3 linked regions of the Sus scrofa genome follow. The protein of the gene in region 3 interacts with the protein of the main gene of each other region in a pairwise test. Links are inferred from orthologs where the notes say so. Each region holds a gene or a part of one and is shown on either strand. Other genes may lie near its edges.

Region 1 (5,926 bases), on a different chromosome or scaffold from region 3:
GTGGTTAACGAATCTGACTAGCAACCTTGAGGACGTAGGTTCGATCCCTGGCCTCGCTCAGTGGGTTAAGGATCTGGCATTGCTATGAGCTGTGGTTTAAGTCACAGACATGGCTTGGATCCCATGCTGCCGTGGCCGTGGTATAGGCTGGCAGCTACAGCTCTGATTCGACCCTTAGCCTGGGAACTTCCATATGCCACGGGTGCGGCCCTAAAAAGCAAAAAAAAGAAATCTAATCAGGGACAAAGCACTTGATTTAAAATGTTTATCAGTAATATACAGAAGAGCTTAGAGATGTTGATACTCACTGAGCTGGTGAATCCATTTCTGTGCATTTAGCTTCAGATAATGATTTGACAGAAGAAATGCATCCTATATGCCCAGCAGTCATTTCACGTATGAGAGTGGGATGCTGGAAGCCTGTTGATAGTAGAGGACAATGAGTTAAGTCCTTAATGGTACAGTATTAGACAGCTGTTGAATACTGCAATTATGAAGCTTACTTAATGACACTTTATGATGAAGTGTTTAGTGAAAAAAACCAAAATATAGGTGTGTGCCCCTTAATTATTTAAAATATGTGTAGAATATTTGACCTAGATGGAAAGTATATAAAAGTATAGGTGGTTTTCTTAAATTTTGTTTAATATTGACATTTTTATTTTTGCAATTAAAAATTAAGTTTAAAAGTGCATGACATTTCACATCAGTGGGGAAAATGGTAACAAGTGGATACACCTGGGTATATGTTTATCCTTTTCTCACCCTGACTGTCTTTTTAATAGTAATTATTTTTATCATCATGATCATAAGAATGTCTTAAAAAAATAACAGAAAAAACTGTTTGCTGTGTTTATTTACTAAGAATTTGAATAGAGGAGTTCCTGTTGTGGCTCAGAAGTAACAAATCCAACTAGTATCCTTGAGGACATTGGTTTGATCCCTGTCCTTGCTCAGGGGGTTAAGGATCTGGCAGTGCCGTGAGCTGTGGTGTAAGTCATAGACGTGGCTAAGAGCCCATGTTGCTGTGGCTCTGGCATAGGCCAGGAGCTGTACCTCAGATTCGACCCCCCAGCCTGGAAACTTCCGATTGCCACAGGTATGGCCCTAAAAAGAAAAAAAAAAAAAAAATTTAAATAGAGATATTTTAATTTTCTTTATATTTTTCTACCAAATCCAAACACTGATGATGGCATGATTCTGGCATTAGAATTACTATTATTTTAGGATTATCAGCATTACAGTTTGCTAAAAAAAGGTAATAACAACTGTGGTGGTGTTAGGTTAATAACAGAGATCATAAAAACACTTTTCTCCTGACATCTCATGAAAGAATGATTATTATAAGTGTCTTATATGTAAATAAATCAATCATCCCAGCTTTCGAAATAAATTTCAAATGGAACAAAGATTTAAGGGTTTGTTTTGCTTTGTTTTTAAAGACAATAGAAGCACCGAAAGAAATAAAAAGTAAGCCTAATCAAGGTCATGTGTAGCCCGCACTCCCAGGGTGAGGCCACACGTGGAGTTGCTGCCCCCGAGAGAGATGTACGATTGCTGGGCCACAAGCTGCTGACTCTCTGACCTCGCACTTCGCTGAGCATCAGCAGTCCAGGCACAGCCAGTAACTGTGAGGTGATCTCTCTTCCACAGCCTGGAACGGGGTCGGGGGGATGACAGGTCCCCACAGCCTGGCTCTTGTAGCAGCAGCGCCCCGTCCCCAGGACACAGACAGCATCGGACTTGGCCTCTGGGCCTGGCTCGGGAGAGGCAGAGGCGGCGTCCCATCCTCCTGTGTGGGAAGGCTGTGAAAAGAAAGCCCTTGTTGGCCCAAACATTTAAACAAGAATTACACTGGGTTCTTTTGTTCTCCCTCTGATATGGTCACAATTCATTTGGAGGTCCAGAAGCAGTTATTTTTGTTGTTGTTTTTGAATCTGTGTTACTTTATGCAAGGACCCAGAGGGAAACACAAAGCAAAAACACTTGGTTGGAGTTCCCGTTATGGCTCAGTGGATTAAGAACATCATGTCCATGAGGATATGGGTTCAATCCCTGGCCTCGCTCAGTGGGTTGAGGAACCTGCGTTGCTGCAAGCTGGGGCATGGGTCGAGATTGTGGCTCGGATCCGGCACTGCTGTGGCTGTGCTGTAGGCTGGCAGCTGCAGCTCCGATTCAACCCCCAGTCTGGGAACCTCCATATGCTGCAGGTGCGGCTGTGAAGAGAAAAAAACCAAACACACGACTGAAGTCTGTCCAGTAGTGTTGGAACAACCCCGTGTCATTCTTCAGGGCACTGTTTTGTGAGTGTTTGGGGAGCTCCTGACCCAGGCATCACATCCAAGCCATTGTAGGATTCCTTGTGACAAGTCCTGGATGATGGCGGGCAAGCAGTGGAGGATGGGAATCTGGGAAATAGCTCGAGAGAGCCTCACCATTTTTTCCCCCTCTTCAGGTTTGACAGGAAAAACTTGCTTTCTGCAAACAACTGAAAACACCGCCCTTGGAAGTTGTTTCTTTGGTCCTCATGGAGCAGCTGGAACCTGTGCTGTGAGGCCTCCAACGGGACGAGCTGTCGCCCACTGACCACTTAGCGCCACTGTCACCATGGCCAGCAAGAGGAAGTCCACAACCCCGTGCATGATCCCTGTGAAGACTGTGGTGCTGCAGGATGCCAGCACCGAGGCTCCACCCGCAGAGGCTGTGCCCGAGGGGCCCCCGCAGGAGCCGGCCCCAGAAGCACCAGCCACTGGCAGCGAGGCCGCCCAGGGTGCCAGTAGTCCTGATGGCGCCACGCTGGCCAATGGGCACCGGAGCGCCTTGGATGGCTACTCGTTTGCCTGTAAATACTGTGACTTCAGATCCCAGGACATAACCCAGTTTGTGGGACATCTGAACTCAGAGCACACAGACTTTAACAAAGACCCAACTTTTGTATGCACCGAATGCAGTTTTCTGGCAAAAACCCCCGAAGGGCTTTCTCTGCACAATGCCAAGTGCCACTCGGGGGAAGCCAGCTTTGTGTGGAATGTGGCCAAGCCAGACAATCATGCAATCGTGGAGCAGAGCCTCCCTGAGAACAGCAGCCCTCCCGACCCCCTGGGGGAGCCCAGCGTGGAAGGGACCGATGGACAGGCTGAAATCATCATCACCAAAACTCCAATCATGAAGATAATGAAAGGCAAAGCTGAAGCCAAAAAAATTCACACGCTCAAGGAGAACGTCCCCAGTCAGCCCACCGGGGAGGCCTCATCAAACCCTTCTGCTGGGGACACGGAGGTGAAAGAGGGGGACCAAGCCTTTGTCAACGGGGCGGCCCCCGTCAGCCAGGCCTCTACCAACTCTGCAAAACCCCCCCACGTGGCCAACGGGCCCCTGCTGGGGACAGTGCCAGTGCTGCCCGCGGGCATCGCCCAGTTTCTCTCCCTCCAGCAGCCAGCCCCGCACACCCAGCACCATGCCCACCAGCCCCTGCCCACGGCCAAGTCCCTGCCCAAGGTGATGATCCCCCTGAGCAGCATCCCCACGTACAACGCGGCCATGGACTCCAACAGCTTCCTGAAGAACTCTTTCCACAAGTTCCCCTACCCAACCAAAGCCGAGCTCTGCTACCTGACTGTGGTCACCAAGTACCCGGAAGAGCAGCTCAAGATCTGGTTCACCGCCCAGAGGCTGAAGCAGGGGATCAGCTGGTCCCCGGAGGAGATTGAGGACGCCCGGAAGAAGATGTTCAACACGGTCATCCAGTCTGTCCCTCAGCCCACGATCACCGTCCTCAACACCCCGCTGGTCGCCAGTGCCGGCAACGTCCAACATCTCATCCAGGCCGCTCTGCCGGGCCACGTGGTGGGCCAGCCAGAGGGCACAGCCGGGGGACTTCTGGTCACTCAGCCACTGATGGCCAATGGGTTGCAGGCACCTAGCTCGTCCCTCCCGCTGGCAGTCACATCTGTCCCCAAGCCGCCCTCTGTTGCGCCCATCAACACTGTGTGTTCAAATACAACATCGGCCGTGAAGGTGGTGAACGCAGCCCAGTCCCTCCTCACAGCGTGCCCCAGCATCACCTCCCAGGCCTTCCTCGATGCCAGCATCTACAAAAACAAGAAATCGCATGAACAGCTGTCAGCTCTGAAAGGGAGCTTCTGCCGGAACCAGTTCCCAGGACAGAGCGAAGTTGAGCACCTGACCAAAGTGACCGGCCTCAGCACCAGAGAGGTGCGGAAGTGGTTCAGTGACCGCAGGTACCACTGCCGGAACCTGAAAGGCTCCAGGGCCGGGCTGCCCGGAGAGCACGGCTCCCTCCTCGTCGACTCCGGGCCGGAGGTGGCCTTCTCCCCATCGTCCAAGGCCCCAGAGGTGACCTGCGTCCCGACAGCAGCCACCCTGGCCACCCCCCCTTCTGCCAAGAGACAGTCCTGGCACCAGACCCCTGATTTCACACCAACCAAATACAAGGAGCGAGCCCCTGAGCAGCTCAGAGCCCTGGAGAGCAGTTTTGCACAAAACCCCCTTCCTCTTGATGAGGAACTGGACCGCCTCAGGACCGAGACCAAAATGACCCGCAGAGAGATTGATGGCTGGTTTTCAGAGAGACGGAAAAAGGTGAGCGCCGAAGAGGCCAAGAAGGCCGAGGAGGGTGCCTCCCAGGGGGAGGAGGAGGCCGCCGAGGAGCAGGGGGAGGAGGGCTCGGCCGGTGACCTGAAGGTCCCAGGTGAAAGTGGCTCCCCGGAAGTGCTCGGCAGCCACTCGCTGGCAGAACGCAAAGTCAGCCCCATCAAAATCAATCTCAAGAACCTGCGGGTCACAGAGGCCAATGGCAAGAGCGAGCTTCTGGGGCTGGGCACCTGCGAGCCCGAGGACGACGTGCCCAGCAAGCTGGCGGAGCAGCCCTCGGGCAAGGTGAGCTGCAAGAAGACAGCCCAGCAGCGGCACCTGCTGCGGCAGCTCTTCGTGCAGACGCAGTGGCCCAGCAACCAGGACTATGACTCCATCATGGCCCAGACGGGCCTGCCGCGGCCCGAGGTGGTGCGCTGGTTCGGGGACAGCAGGTACGCCCTGAAGAATGGCCAGCTCAAGTGGTACGAAGACTATAAGCGGGGCAACTTCCCCCCCGGGCTGCTGGTCATCGCCCCAAACAACCGGGAGCTGCTGCAAGACTATTATGTGACCCACAAGATGCTGTACGAGGCGGACCTGCAGGGCCTCTGCGACAAGACCCAGATGAGCGCCCAGCAGGTCAAGCAGTGGTTTGCTGAGAAGATGGGCGAGGAGACCCGGGCCGTGGCCGACACGGCCAGTGAGAGCCAGGGTCCCGGCGCTGGCGACCCTGCGATGGTCCACAGAGGGATGGGCGACACCTATTTGGAGGTGTCTGAAAACAGTGAGTCGTGGGAGCCCGGTGCCCCTGAGGCCAGCTCTGAACCCTTTGACACACCAAGTCCCCAAGCTGGACCTCAGCTGGGTAAGGGGCCCTTGCGGCTGTGCTGTCCTCTGTGGGTATGGGAGGCACCGGTGGCAGGTACTGAATCTAGTGCCAGGGCATCTCCAATTTCCAAGGCTGTCTGGCAGGAGGAGCCATCAGAGCGCCATACGGCCATGGGCTGAGAGCTGGCTTTTTATCACTTTCCATGTTGGTTAATCTGTGCACAGGGGGGCACAGTGAACCCACAAAGGCCCACACCTCTCTAGCCATTCCTTAGCCCAAGGAGAATAGGTCAGAATGTCATCTGAACCGGACAGAGCCACAACCACTGCATAGGAGAGAGAAGGCACCTCTGAGGAGATTCAGCCCAAACTGGTGAACAGAAGCAGAGAATGCCTTTAACTGACCTGAGATACGTGAAGTGGTTTTTCTTTTTTTCCCAGTGATGAAAACCCTGTAGTTTGCATTTCTCTTATTCTTCCTGGTGTAGATAGAGGTAGTGAA
Region 2 (5,757 bases), on a different chromosome or scaffold from region 3:
TGAAAGTGTGTAGTCTGCAGGGTCTTTTTTTATTGATTTTTATTTTTTCCATCATAGGTGGAAATTTTCTACTGTACAGCAAAGTGACCCAGTCACACATAAATATATACATTCTTTTTCCCACATTATCATGCTCCATCATAAGTGACTAGATATAGTTCCCAGTGCTACACAGCAGGATTTCATTGCTTACCCATTCCAAAGGCAATAGTTTGCATCTATGAACCCCAGACTCCCAGTCCATCCCATTCCCGCCCCCCTCCCTTGGAACCACACGTCTCTTCTCCAAGTCCATGAGTTTCTTCTCTGTGGAAAGGTTCATTTGTGCCATATATTAGATTCCAGATCTAAGTCATCTCATCTGGTAATTGTCTTTCTCTTTCTGACTTACTTCACTTAGTAGGAGAGTCTCTAGGTCCATCCATGTTGCTGCAAATGGCATTATTTTGTTCGTTAGTCCTTGGGGTCTTAAGTCGAGTCTGGGAGCCCTGGGGTGCGGGTGCTGCTGGGGGTGGGAGGCGCTTTGGACATTGGAAACTGACAACCAAGTTATGTAGTGATTTGCTGGTTTCCGCTTAGGAGGATCTGCCTCAAGTCAAGTCGAGACAGTAAACCCTGACAGTGTAAAAGCAGGGTTTCAGGAAAAAAATGAAAATAAAAAATAAATAAAAGCAGTGGTTCAGCATGACAGAAGCAGGGATGAAGGAAGGGGGTGGGGGATTCATAGCTTGATCTTTTAGAGAGAAGCAAGAGATTCCTCTCAAGCTGCTTGGCCAAGAAACAGAGGATTCCTGTGTATTTATTTTTTGAATAGTAAAAACATATACAAGAGTTCCTGTTGTGGCTCAGCGGTAATGAATCTGACTAGTATCCATGAGGATGCAGGTTCAATTCCTGGCCTCACTCAGTGGGTTAAGGATCCGGCATTGCCAGGAGCTGTAGTGTAGGTCGCAGATGCAGCTCAGACCTAGCATTGCTGTGGCTGTGGTGTAGGCTGGCAGCTGTAGCTCCGATTGGACCCCTAGCCTGGGAACTTCCATATGCCGAGGATGCGGCCCTAAAAGCCACCCCCCCCAAAAAAGGCAAAAAGACAAAACGGAGGGAGTCCTCACTGTGGCTTATCGGGTTAAGAACCGACAGAGCGTCTGTGAGGATGTGGGTTTGATCCCTGGCATCGATAGTGGGTTAAGGATCCCGAGTTGCTGTGAGCTGTGGTCGCTGATGCTTCTTGGACCCTGGCTGTGGCGTAGCCCTCAGCTGAAGCTCTGATTCATCCCGTAGCCCGGGTCCTTATGCCACAGGCATGGCCATAAAAAAAGAAAAATAAATAAAGTGAGATGGCAAAGAGAAAGCTGTATTAATGCCTAGTAGGAGTTACTCCAGGGTCAGTCTTTTTTTTTTTTTTTTTTTTTTTTTGCTACACCCGTGGCGTGTGGAAATTCCCAGTCCAGCGATCAAACCTGAGCCACAGCAGCGACCTGAGCCTCTATCTACAGTGACACCACCAGATCCTTAAGCCTGCAGGGGCCTGAGATTTTACCATGAACACCGAAGACACTGTGGACTCTTGGTGCTGATTCTAGATCCACTCCCCACCCCCACCCCCAACCAGAGGGTCTCTCAAACAAAATCAAGAAGGGGCTCCTTCAAAGTTTTTGGATGCCTGTTCTAAGGATGAAGTCAGAATATGGTGCCTGAGGAGTTCCCGTCATGGCACAGTGGAAACGAATTCAACTAGGAACCATGAGGTTGCGGGTTTGATCCCCGGCCTCACTCATTGGGTTAAGGATCCAGTGTTGCTTTGAGCAGTGGTGTAGGTTGCAGACGCGGCTTGGATCTGGTATTGCTGTGGCTCTGGTGTAGGCTGGAGGCTACAGCTCCGATTCGACCCCTAGCCTGGGAACCTCCATATGCCATGGGAGCGGCCCTAAAAAGACCAAAAAAAAGAAAAAGAAAAAAGAGAATATGGTGCCCGAAAGAGAAAAGCACGGCTCAGAACAGGGGGTGTGGGGTGCAGTCAGCGTGACAGTATCGCCTGGAGCTGACGAGGGCGGTGAGAGTAAGGATTCCATCCTTAAGTCTTGTACAATCCCCAGTGGGCCTCATTCTCTCGATTTCAAGTGGCCATTTTTCCACATCTCCACCTTCTGGAAGTAGGGTATTCCTTCCAGTGTGAGGTCGGCTGGCCCTGACTCCCTGGAGCATCCCCGCCTCCCTAGGGGTACACTGCACCGCCACCGCCCCGAAGGCATCCCAGCCACGCTGAGACGTCTCATCACCATGATGGCCAGAGTCCGGCCTGTCCAGCCCTGGGTGCGAGACAGGCAGGGGACGTTCCTCCGGCCCACTCAGCGGCTGCCGGCAGTGGGGCGCCCTCCCCGGCCCCGAAGTCCCCAGCTGGGCCCCCTGTCTTGCAGGTGTCGCCACCGCCGGCCGTCATGGGCAAGCAGAACAGCAAGCTGCGGCCCGAGGTGCTGCAGGACCTGCGCGAGAACACCGAGTTCACGGACCACGAGCTGCAGGAGTGGTACAAGGGCTTCCTCAAAGACTGCCCCACCGGCCACCTGACCGTGGACGAGTTCAAGAAGATCTACGCCAACTTCTTCCCCTACGGCGACGCCTCCAAGTTCGCCGAGCACGTCTTCCGCACCTTCGACACCAACGGCGACGGCACCATCGACTTCCGGGAGTTCATCATCGCGCTGAGCGTGACGTCGCGGGGCAAGCTGGAGCAGAAGCTCAAGTGGGCCTTCAGCATGTACGACCTGGACGGCAACGGCTACATCAGCCGCAGCGAGATGCTGGAGATCGTGCAGGTGCGTCTCCGAGGCCCCGCCCACCCAGGGCTCGGGGCCGCCACGCCCGTAGCCGTGGCCGTGGCCGTGGTGATGGTGGCAGAGCCCGGGTTTCCTCGGGCCCCTTGGACAGAGACGCACGGAGGTGGCCGGCGGGGCTGCTGAGCCCTCCCATGGCAGTGTCCCAGAGAGCAGGTGCTCGGTCCTTTCTGGGGCTAGTGAGATGGTTCTCCTTGCTGGGTCTCAGGGTCTGAGTCTTTTTTTTTTTTTTTTTTGGCTTTTAACGGAGGTGCAGCCATCCCGTAGTCAGGTGTTTGAGGCCCGGCGTGCCGCGTGATGGGCCGTGCCCGCGTCTGGCCGGGTCCTCCCCCTCCGCCGCAGTCCAGCCCGCAGAAAGCCCGAGAACTGCCCCGCCTCCCGCCCCCAGACAACCCCTGTCTTACAGCCATCACCTCGGGTCATTTCCTCTGTTCTTGAACTTCACGTAAATGAGTCCGGCTTCCTCTGGCTCGTGTGCTGTCTGCCATATCCTTCCTCGCTACTGGGAGGAGCGGGCAACTTTCCAGCTAGGGAGGGGTCCGCAGCCCCGACTGCTGTGGGCGAGGCCGAGGCGGCAGCTCGCGCCTGGGCCCCACCCGTCCAGGGACACCCCGGAATCGCTGAGCACGAGGTGTGTGTGCCCCTTTGCAGGCCATTTACAAAATGGTGTCGTCGGTGATGAAGATGCCGGAGGACGAGTCCACCCCTGAGAAACGCACGGACAAGATCTTCAGACAGATGGACACCAATAATGACGGTAAGACCCCGGCGTCAGTGCCTCGGAGCACAGATGCGTGTGGGAGCCTTCCCTCCTGCTCTGCAGCTTCTCGGGCCTCACCCAGCCATGCAGCTGCATTCAGGGAAGAGCCGGGGTTCGGAGTCCGGGTGCCTGGGTGAGCGTCCTGCCCCCCTGATCTGTAGTCTCCTTGCTTCTAGAACCGGGGGACGGTAGGCCCCGGCTGTCCAGGGAGAGGCGCAGGTGCAGTGTCACCGCGCCCTGCAGGGGTGGGGACCAAGCGTCCCATGTGGTGGGGCCCTGGGAACTGCATCCCTTTGCTCTCATTATCCTGACTGGAGGGCTCCCAGTGGCCCCAGGGACTCTGCGGGGAGGTGCTGGCTGGAGCAGCTGTGCGGGGCCTCTGGGCTCATGCCACGGCAGAGGTGGCGCTTCCAGGAGGGGCGGTGGCAGCCGCACAATGAGGACTCAGTGTGTTTCCTGCTCTGCACTGGCTGCGAGCTTCTGCGGGGCCCACAGGGGGAGCGTAGCTGTGAAACTCCACGGGTCTACGCCTCTTAAGCAGTGTTAAGTGCCGTCCCAGAGCCTGGTCCGATTTGCTTTTGATCAATAAAGAAATGCAGCATTTAGACAAGAAAAAAGAGAAAATACCCCCTGGGCTGTGCTGGAGATGGAAAATAAGCAAATGGACAGAAGCGTGCTCTCTAGACCCCGAAGTGAGGTGCGAGGAGGAGGCCGAGGGCTGCGCCCTCGGGGGAGGGGTGCAGCGGCGCGACCGCAGCTGGAGAGCCTCTTATGCAGAGGCAGGAAGTGGGCTCCCCAAGGCACAAGTTGCCACAATGCAGGGTCTGCTTCAAACTCGGTCCCTCCCACATCTGTATCCTGGGAGCATGTGTTTGGCGCCAGCGTCGGTGGCTCTGGAACTCACCTTTCTACGGCACCCGGTCCCAGGAGTAACAAGGTCCTCGATGCAGGAGGCACCGAGGACGAGGCAGGCACCAGCAGGCCCTTGGCAGGCCTCTGCCTAACCCTCCCACCCCGCAAAGCAGGTAGTGCAGGAGCAGGAAGGGGACTCAGCCGGAGCAGCGGGCCGAGCCTCCGCCAATGGATGGCCAAGCTGGACGGGCCGGAACCACACCCCGGGCAGTGGCTGGGAGGCTCTGGATTGGTTATGGGCTAGAGACAGAGGCCATGTTCTTTCCGGACAAGACACGTCGTTCTTAAATAAAGCGTGGAGAACTTTCTAGAAGGATTTAGCTTGCCCCACCAGCCACAGCGTGCAGCCATACTGGGGACAGCCTTTGAGGGGCCCCGTGCTGTGCCACGAACAGTGAAAGCCAAAAAGGGTTTTCCAGAAATGCTCTTTTTTTTCTTTTCTTTTTTTTTTTTTTTTAATGTTAGGGCCGTACCCACAGCATATGGAAGTTCCCAAGCTAGGGGTTGAATCAGAGCTGCAGCCACCGGCCTACGCCACAGCCACAGCAACAGCAGATCCAAGCCGCATCTGTGACTTACAGCTTGCAGTCACGCCAGATCCTTAACCCACAGAGCGAGGCCTGGGATCGAACCCGCATCCTCATGGATACTAGTCGGGTTCTCACGCTGAGCCTCAACAGGAACTCCCCAGAAATGCCGTTGAAACGAGTGGAGCCTGGACAGCATCCAGGACTCAAGGGCGCGTGGGGACAGTGACACAGGAATGGTGACAGCACACTAACTCCCATTTCTCCCCCAGGCAAACTGTCCCTGGAAGAATTCATTAAAGGTGCCAAGAGCGACCCGTCCATCGTCCGGTTGTTACAGTGTGACCCCAGCAGCGCCAGTCAGTTCTAAGGGCCCGGCATGTGGACAGTGCAGAGAAACACAAGCTTGTCTTGCCATTTAAGCTTTGCTTGCGACAGTGGATGCCTCCTCAGTCATTCCTGCTCTCCCAGGGCAGCCAGGCGCCGCGTGGCACCTGCCCGCCCGGCGGCCGCGCCTCCCCCCCTCCGCCCGGCCTCCTCCCGCCCCCTCCCGGGTCCCTCCTGGGCGACTCCCCGGGATGTGTTTACACGCAGGGCTCCCAGCATCCTTGCTTCTGGGCCACCTCCCGGCCTGCAGGGAGCCCAGAGGACGCGCCGAGGATACTGGCGGGACTTTTCTAAGATCGCGCCAAGGCCAGCCGACTTCTCTTGTGATCGCAGGTGA
Region 3 (5,971 bases):
TAAAATTGTTGCCTTAGCCAAAATATTAGAATGCAGTGTTATGACGTCAACTGGTCTATTTCGATCAGGTAGTGACTTGTTAAAAATTCCCAGGCTCCGTAGATGGATAACTTACCTTGGAACCAGTACTGGGTGACCTTGGGCTTTGGGCAGGTCCTCTGATCATCTAAGAAATGGGACGTGTGATCTTTACCTCACCGGAGAATTGTGGGGATTAGCTATGACGAAGTCCAAGATCAAGTAAATAGAATATGTACCACAATGCGGACAAGATCCATCGGTTTGGTTTTGGATGAGCTTCTCATGAGAGAAGTGTCGTGTGTTGTGGCCTAAGGCTTTGCACATCGGAGGTCCTGAAAAATATTACTGATTCATTAATTCATGTAATGGTTGATGAATCTTTAGTAGGTCTATCAGTGAATAAGACAGACAAGATCTCTGCTCTCCTGACAATAAACAAACAGGAAATGACTCAGAATGTTCTAAGGCAACACATCGATGGAATACTAGAGCAGGGCAGGGTGGATCAGGAAAACTGGGGGATACAATTTTAAGTAGGGAGTCGTGTGAATATTCAGGGAAAAGCACTCCAAGCAGAGGGACCAGTGAGTAGAATGACCCCGAGGAAAGAGAGCGCCTGGCTTTTTTTGCGGAACAGCAAAGGGGACAGTGGGGCTGGAGCTGTGGAGTGACAAGAAAAGAGAGGGGACACTGGATCTGAAAGACAAAGAGATTGGGTGGGGCCTTGGAGGCCATGGGAAGATTTTGACTTTGACTCCAAGTGGAAGCGCAACATCAGATGCTTTTGAGCAGAGTTGTGGCATCACCTGATGCAGATGCTCAGTCATGGTGTGAGCTGGTCCTGCCGGAGGCAGAGACAATGCAGGAGGCCAGTGCAATAGTTCTGATGAAGGATGGTGGCAGTTCAGTTTTCCAGGAGTAGCAGCCCAAGTAAGTGAGAAATGGTCAAATTCTGGATACATGTGGAAGGTAGAGCCAGTTGGCTTTGGAGGCAGAGTGGATGTGGGTGGGGGATGTGAAAAAGAGGAGTCAAGATGCTTTAGGGCCTGAGCATTTGGAAGGATGGAGCTGCCATTTACTGAGATGTGTGTGCAAGAGCTGTATTATACATCTCACAGTGACTCGGAGAGAACAGCTGCCTTGGGAGTGTGGGCTTGAGTGTAAGGCTTCCTTCTACCTGCTGGGGAAAACCTCTTGAAACAAATGAGCTCCCGGCTGTGCTTTGAAAGATGAGGCTCGGAAAGACTGAGGTTTTCACAAGTACTTTTGTAAGACTCAAATGCACAGTTTAAAAAAAGCATCAGTTCGGGGGTTGTATTTCCTCCTCTGTGCCAAACAGTTCATTTAGTTTTTTTAGTCTTTTCCTCACCCCCACCCCAACTCCACAGGCTGAAATGCCACTTCTGAAGAGCAGAGCTGCTGGTGCATCCTGGCACCAATAGAGGGAGCTGAGAAGGCCTCCGGAAGACCTCTGAGCTGAGGCCCAGGGCTGGACACTGCCTTCTCTCCAGCCTCTAGCAACCTCTGTGCTTCTGGCTAGAAGCCAGGTGTTTCTGGGAGGATGGGGAAGTGGTTCTAGAACTCTCTTGACAATTTTCCTATTCTACTGAAACTTTTGTTTATGGCCGTTGTCATGGGTAAAGGACCAAACACATATGCATCCAGAAGTGATCACCTGTGTGTATCCATAGAGGAAAGAGATAAGGCCCTAGATGTAAATAAAGAGAAGAAGGAAGAATGCAACAGATGGAATAAAGAGGGTGTATGGGGCTGCTATGACAAGTGACCACAAACAGGGTGGCTTAAAACAAGAGAAATGTACTCTTACAGTTTGGGAGGAGAGAGGCCCCAAATCAAGGCATCGGGCCTTGCAGGGCCTTGCTCCCTCTGAAGCGCTAAGGAAGAATTCTTCCTTGCCTCTTCCAGCTCCTGGTGATTGCTGGCCAGTCTTGGCTTTCCTTGGCTTGTGGCTAAATCACTTCCATCTCGGCCTGTCTTCGCAGGGCCTTCTTCCCCTTCCCTGTGTCCCCCGGTCTTAGGAGAATAGCGGTCAGGTGGGATTTAGGGACCACCCTCATCTGGTAAGACATCTTAACTAATTACATCTTAATTCCAGATAAAGTCACTCACTTTCCTAGGGTGCAAGGACTTCAACATATCTTTCAGGGGAGCACAACTCCACCCACAACAGAGGGCAACAGGAACTTACCCTGAGAGCCCACCTGTGGGGGAAAACACATAAATGGAGCAATAAAAGGAAAACAGTTACATGTGAAATTCTAAGTGGAGGTCAAATGGATTTGGGAGTAACAGGAAATATTAGATAAGAGAAGCTTTCACTTGGGATACGCTCTCCATCTGTGCTTATGGCCTTGATTTTTTTTTTTTTTCCCTCTCAGAGTTAAAAAAAATACTGTATAAATAAAAAGAATAAGAAAATAGCACTTCTCTGACTCACACATTGGGCAGAGCCGCAAATTCTTGTGATAATCAGGAAAGACTCCACGGAAGGGTTGGTGCCTGAGCTGGATCTCGGAGGATGAGGATAAAATCGCCATGTAAAGGAGGACTTCCCAGATAGAGAGAAAGTATATGCCAAAGGCCCAGTGTCACTTCAGTGATCCACCCTTTACTGCCTGAAATAGGGTGAACAACCTCTCAAGGCAAGGCGCAGACCGTCTGCTTGATCTGTATTACTCAGAAACAGGATTAAATACAGGAAGGGGCAAACATGTTGCTGGTTTTAATAAATGCACACAGAAGCACACAGTAACCTAAAGAGACAGGAGAGCAGCATCTCTAAGGAAGACTTCATTCTTGGGCACATTTGCCAAAGCACAAATATGGAAACCCCACCCTCAGCCAGAGCTGGAGAAATCAAAAGGCTGATGTGGTATAAATTCCTCTGCCCTGATTGCATAAGGAGATCTGCCAACATTTTTTTCTCTGATATATTCCTTGCTGCACAAAGAGCTGAACTGGGTTTTTAAAACCTGATCGTGAACCGAGATAGGCAATTCTGAATCATCACCAGGATCTAGGAAAATTAACCCTCACCGATCTTCCCAGATAAGCACCCAAGCTTGCTGCCTCTGAGATCTGCTGCGGGGTTCTGGCTAGGTTCCTGTCACAGAGAGACTCCCCTTTTTTGGCATAAGAATGTACAAGATGCCAGTAAAGTTCACACTGGGTCATCGAAGGCTCTTTAAATGCACGGTGATTCATTGCTGGGGGTGGGGGAGCGACGAGAGGGAGGGGGAAGGAAGTGCTGAGCAGAGAGGCGGAGCGAAGTAATTATGAAATTGACTGCAGAAAAAGCTCGCGCTGGGAGTGACGGGGGTCACGTGTTCCTACTATTGGTATTTCGGCTACAACTTTCAAACCCGAGGCAGGGGGGAGGGGTCGGGAAACCTCACCTTGCCTCTTGATTGGCTTTCGGAGGAGATGCTTCAGATGCCTGGCATATTTATTAGAATTACAACGGAGCATTAATTTCTCTTTTTATCTGACAAAGAAGAAACGCTCTCCCATGACAGTCCGGTTAGCAGAACAAAAATCTGGCTGTACTGGTATGAGTGAACAATTTGTCTTCTTCTTCTTGATTTACTCCGCATTCTAGCTGACAGGGTCTTCCATTCTGCGCATTCATTTTGTACTTAAAAAGGGATTGTTTGTAATTTACAGTTTAAGGCTGAGGGCCATTATTCTGCGCTGTCAGAACGCATCTGCCGCAGGAGCATCGTTTCAGCCTGTGCCAGGGCACAAAGCAAGCCCTGATCGCCAGTCAGCTTGAGAGCTCCCTGGAGACTCCAGCCCTTAAACTTTGGAGAGGCCTGGCCCACAGGGGTTCTGCAAATATCAAACTGCCTGACAACCCCCGCTGAAATCCTGACACACAGTTTCCTCTTTGTGTCCAAAAGCAAACTTGGCCAGTGCCTCTTCTCTAACTCTTCCTCTTTGGGGTAAACTTGGTAAATTCCTCATAAAATAATTGTCTTAAACTCGGACCCTCCTGTGGGTCAGTTTTCCTAGCTGATGGGTGACTCAAGAAAAACAAACCGACAGAGCTTACAGCTAGATATTTTAATATCCTGTAGTTAGAGTCACAAAGACCTTCCCTCTTTCCCAAACAGTTTGATGTGTTTTGTTTTGTTTCTTTCAGTCCGTTGTAGCCCCTGATCTCAGTCTGCAGACACCCTAAGCTTAACCCCTACAACCCATCAACTGCCATCATCTTAAAGTGTAAACAGTGGTGGCTTTGGGCTTTGATTTTAATTTGGAAAATGTATTTCTTTTGAGGAAACAAAATGCCAAGATGTTAATGAAATGCTTTTAATAGATTTCCAAATGCTCCCAGCCAATACCAGGCAAAGTTCAACTCACTCATTCTAAGCCTCAAACTGTTGTTCATTTTCTTTTCCTGTAAGAAGGGCTATGTCCTATAGATGATTAAAACCATAAATTCTGTTATTTCATAGGTCATTACATTACATTCAGTCTTGGTTGTAGTTACATTGACGAAAATTTATCTAGGTCTTGCTTGAAAAATAAATAATAATGGTTAAAAATCATCTCATTTCCTTTTGACGTGTCCTATTAGACTAAGTATATGAGAAAGTGTTATATATAAAAAAAAAGACAGATTTCCTTTTGGTGGCCTTGATTTGTTTTCTAGTTAAGCAGCAACTGTATACTTTTCATTATTCATGCCCAAAGCCATCTGTCATTAAAAGGTAACACCCCCAACCATTCAGCCACAAGCTGCAAATCCAGCTATAACTCCAGAATACATAGCTTTCCATCAGCTTCCCAGGGTGGCACAGTGTCTGGGATCCTCTCTCCCCTTCTCCCCCCCCCAAAAAAAAACCCACACCAGATCTAACAAATTTTTAGTCTAACAGACAAATCTAATAAATTTCTATTTTGTGGGCCCATGCCAGATCTACCCAGGAGATTATTCCTTCACCACCAGCTTACTCTCAGAGATCATTTTAACAAAGGTTAAGGTCCATGTTATACACTGCAAGGGGGAAATCTCAGGAAGGTTAAAAAAAAAATAACCCAGTTATCTACTCCACTACTGCAGAGTCATGCCAGGATCTTAAGGTCTCCAATTAGTTCTTAGAACTAATTCCTGCACCTCCCCAGCCTCATTATTTATACCAGAGTGGTCCATTAGAAAAATAATGGACACATGTCATTTTAAATTTTATAATAGTCACACTCGGAAGTAAAAAGAAACTGGTAAATTAACTTTAACGGTATATTTTATTTAACCTGACTTAGGCAGAATATTTTCATTTTAATCGATACGAAAATTCTTGAGATACCTGTATATGTGTACACTTGTGCATTTGTGTGTATGTTCTAAGTCTGACATTTAAAGTGTATGTTACACGTATAACACATCTCAATGGCTGAAGTCATATTGAACAGTGCAGACCTATCTGAAAGCACTTGTTTTTGGTTTTAATTGTAGACAGAATCTTATTTAAAATTCCCTACTGTGTGTACTGTTACATCATAAACTGTTGGCAGATGTTTAAGTACAATGATTTTAATTTCACTCTTGACTAGTGGTGATGTCATTTTCATTACCCAGAAGCCTATGCTGCTACAGTTTGGTGGAGGGTCAAGAAAGATGATTCAGAAGTATGTACTTTAAGAGTCTCTGTGCCACAAACAGAGGCCAGTGACTTCAGTCTGGGTGTGGTGAGCTGACCTCAGAGTCTATTGTGTGAGTGGTTTTCACTTTTGTTTTTAGTTTATTTTACTTTTCTGGTGTCTCTAGCTTTATTTGTCAGTGCAGTCTAAAGAAAGTATATTGGTTTTGCAAGCACACTGTCATTTGCTCGGATTTTTAAATGACATGTGTGGGATAATATCTTCCTTATAATACCATGGTTAAAGGTCTGTCAGTGTTTCCATTAAAAATTCAAATCTTTGGATT

What was found. The genes of interacting proteins can lie anywhere in the genome.
Region 1: the proteins of ATXN1 (region 3) and ZHX3 interact in binary tests that used the Homo sapiens proteins (3 or more experiments, as listed by UniProt). The link is inferred for Sus scrofa from reciprocal best matches to the Homo sapiens genes ATXN1 and ZHX3.
Region 2: the proteins of ATXN1 (region 3) and HPCAL1 interact in binary tests that used the Homo sapiens proteins (3 or more experiments, as listed by UniProt). The link is inferred for Sus scrofa from reciprocal best matches to the Homo sapiens genes ATXN1 and HPCAL1.

Annotation. Positions count from the first base shown.
Region 1 is NC_010459.5:43,855,603-43,861,528, reverse strand, and holds the start of ZHX3 (zinc fingers and homeoboxes protein 3), read left to right. Parts: upstream 1-2,607; coding exon 2,608-5,461; intron 5,462-5,926. UniProt on the Homo sapiens protein: Acts as a transcriptional repressor. Involved in the early stages of mesenchymal stem cell (MSC) osteogenic differentiation. Is a regulator of podocyte gene expression during primary glomerula disease. Binds to promoter DNA.
Region 2 is NC_010445.4:126,107,857-126,113,613, reverse strand, and holds HPCAL1 (hippocalcin-like protein 1), read left to right. Parts: upstream 1-2,438; coding exon 2,439-2,816; intron 2,817-3,485; coding exon 3,486-3,591; intron 3,592-5,305; coding exon 5,306-5,403; downstream 5,404-5,757. UniProt on the Homo sapiens protein: May be involved in the calcium-dependent regulation of rhodopsin phosphorylation.
Region 3 is NC_010449.5:12,727,298-12,733,268, reverse strand, and holds the start of ATXN1 (ataxin-1), read left to right. Parts: upstream 1-2,418; 5' UTR 2,419-5,971. UniProt on the Homo sapiens protein: Chromatin-binding factor that repress Notch signaling in the absence of Notch intracellular domain by acting as a CBF1 corepressor. Binds to the HEY promoter and might assist, along with NCOR2, RBPJ-mediated repression. Binds RNA in vitro.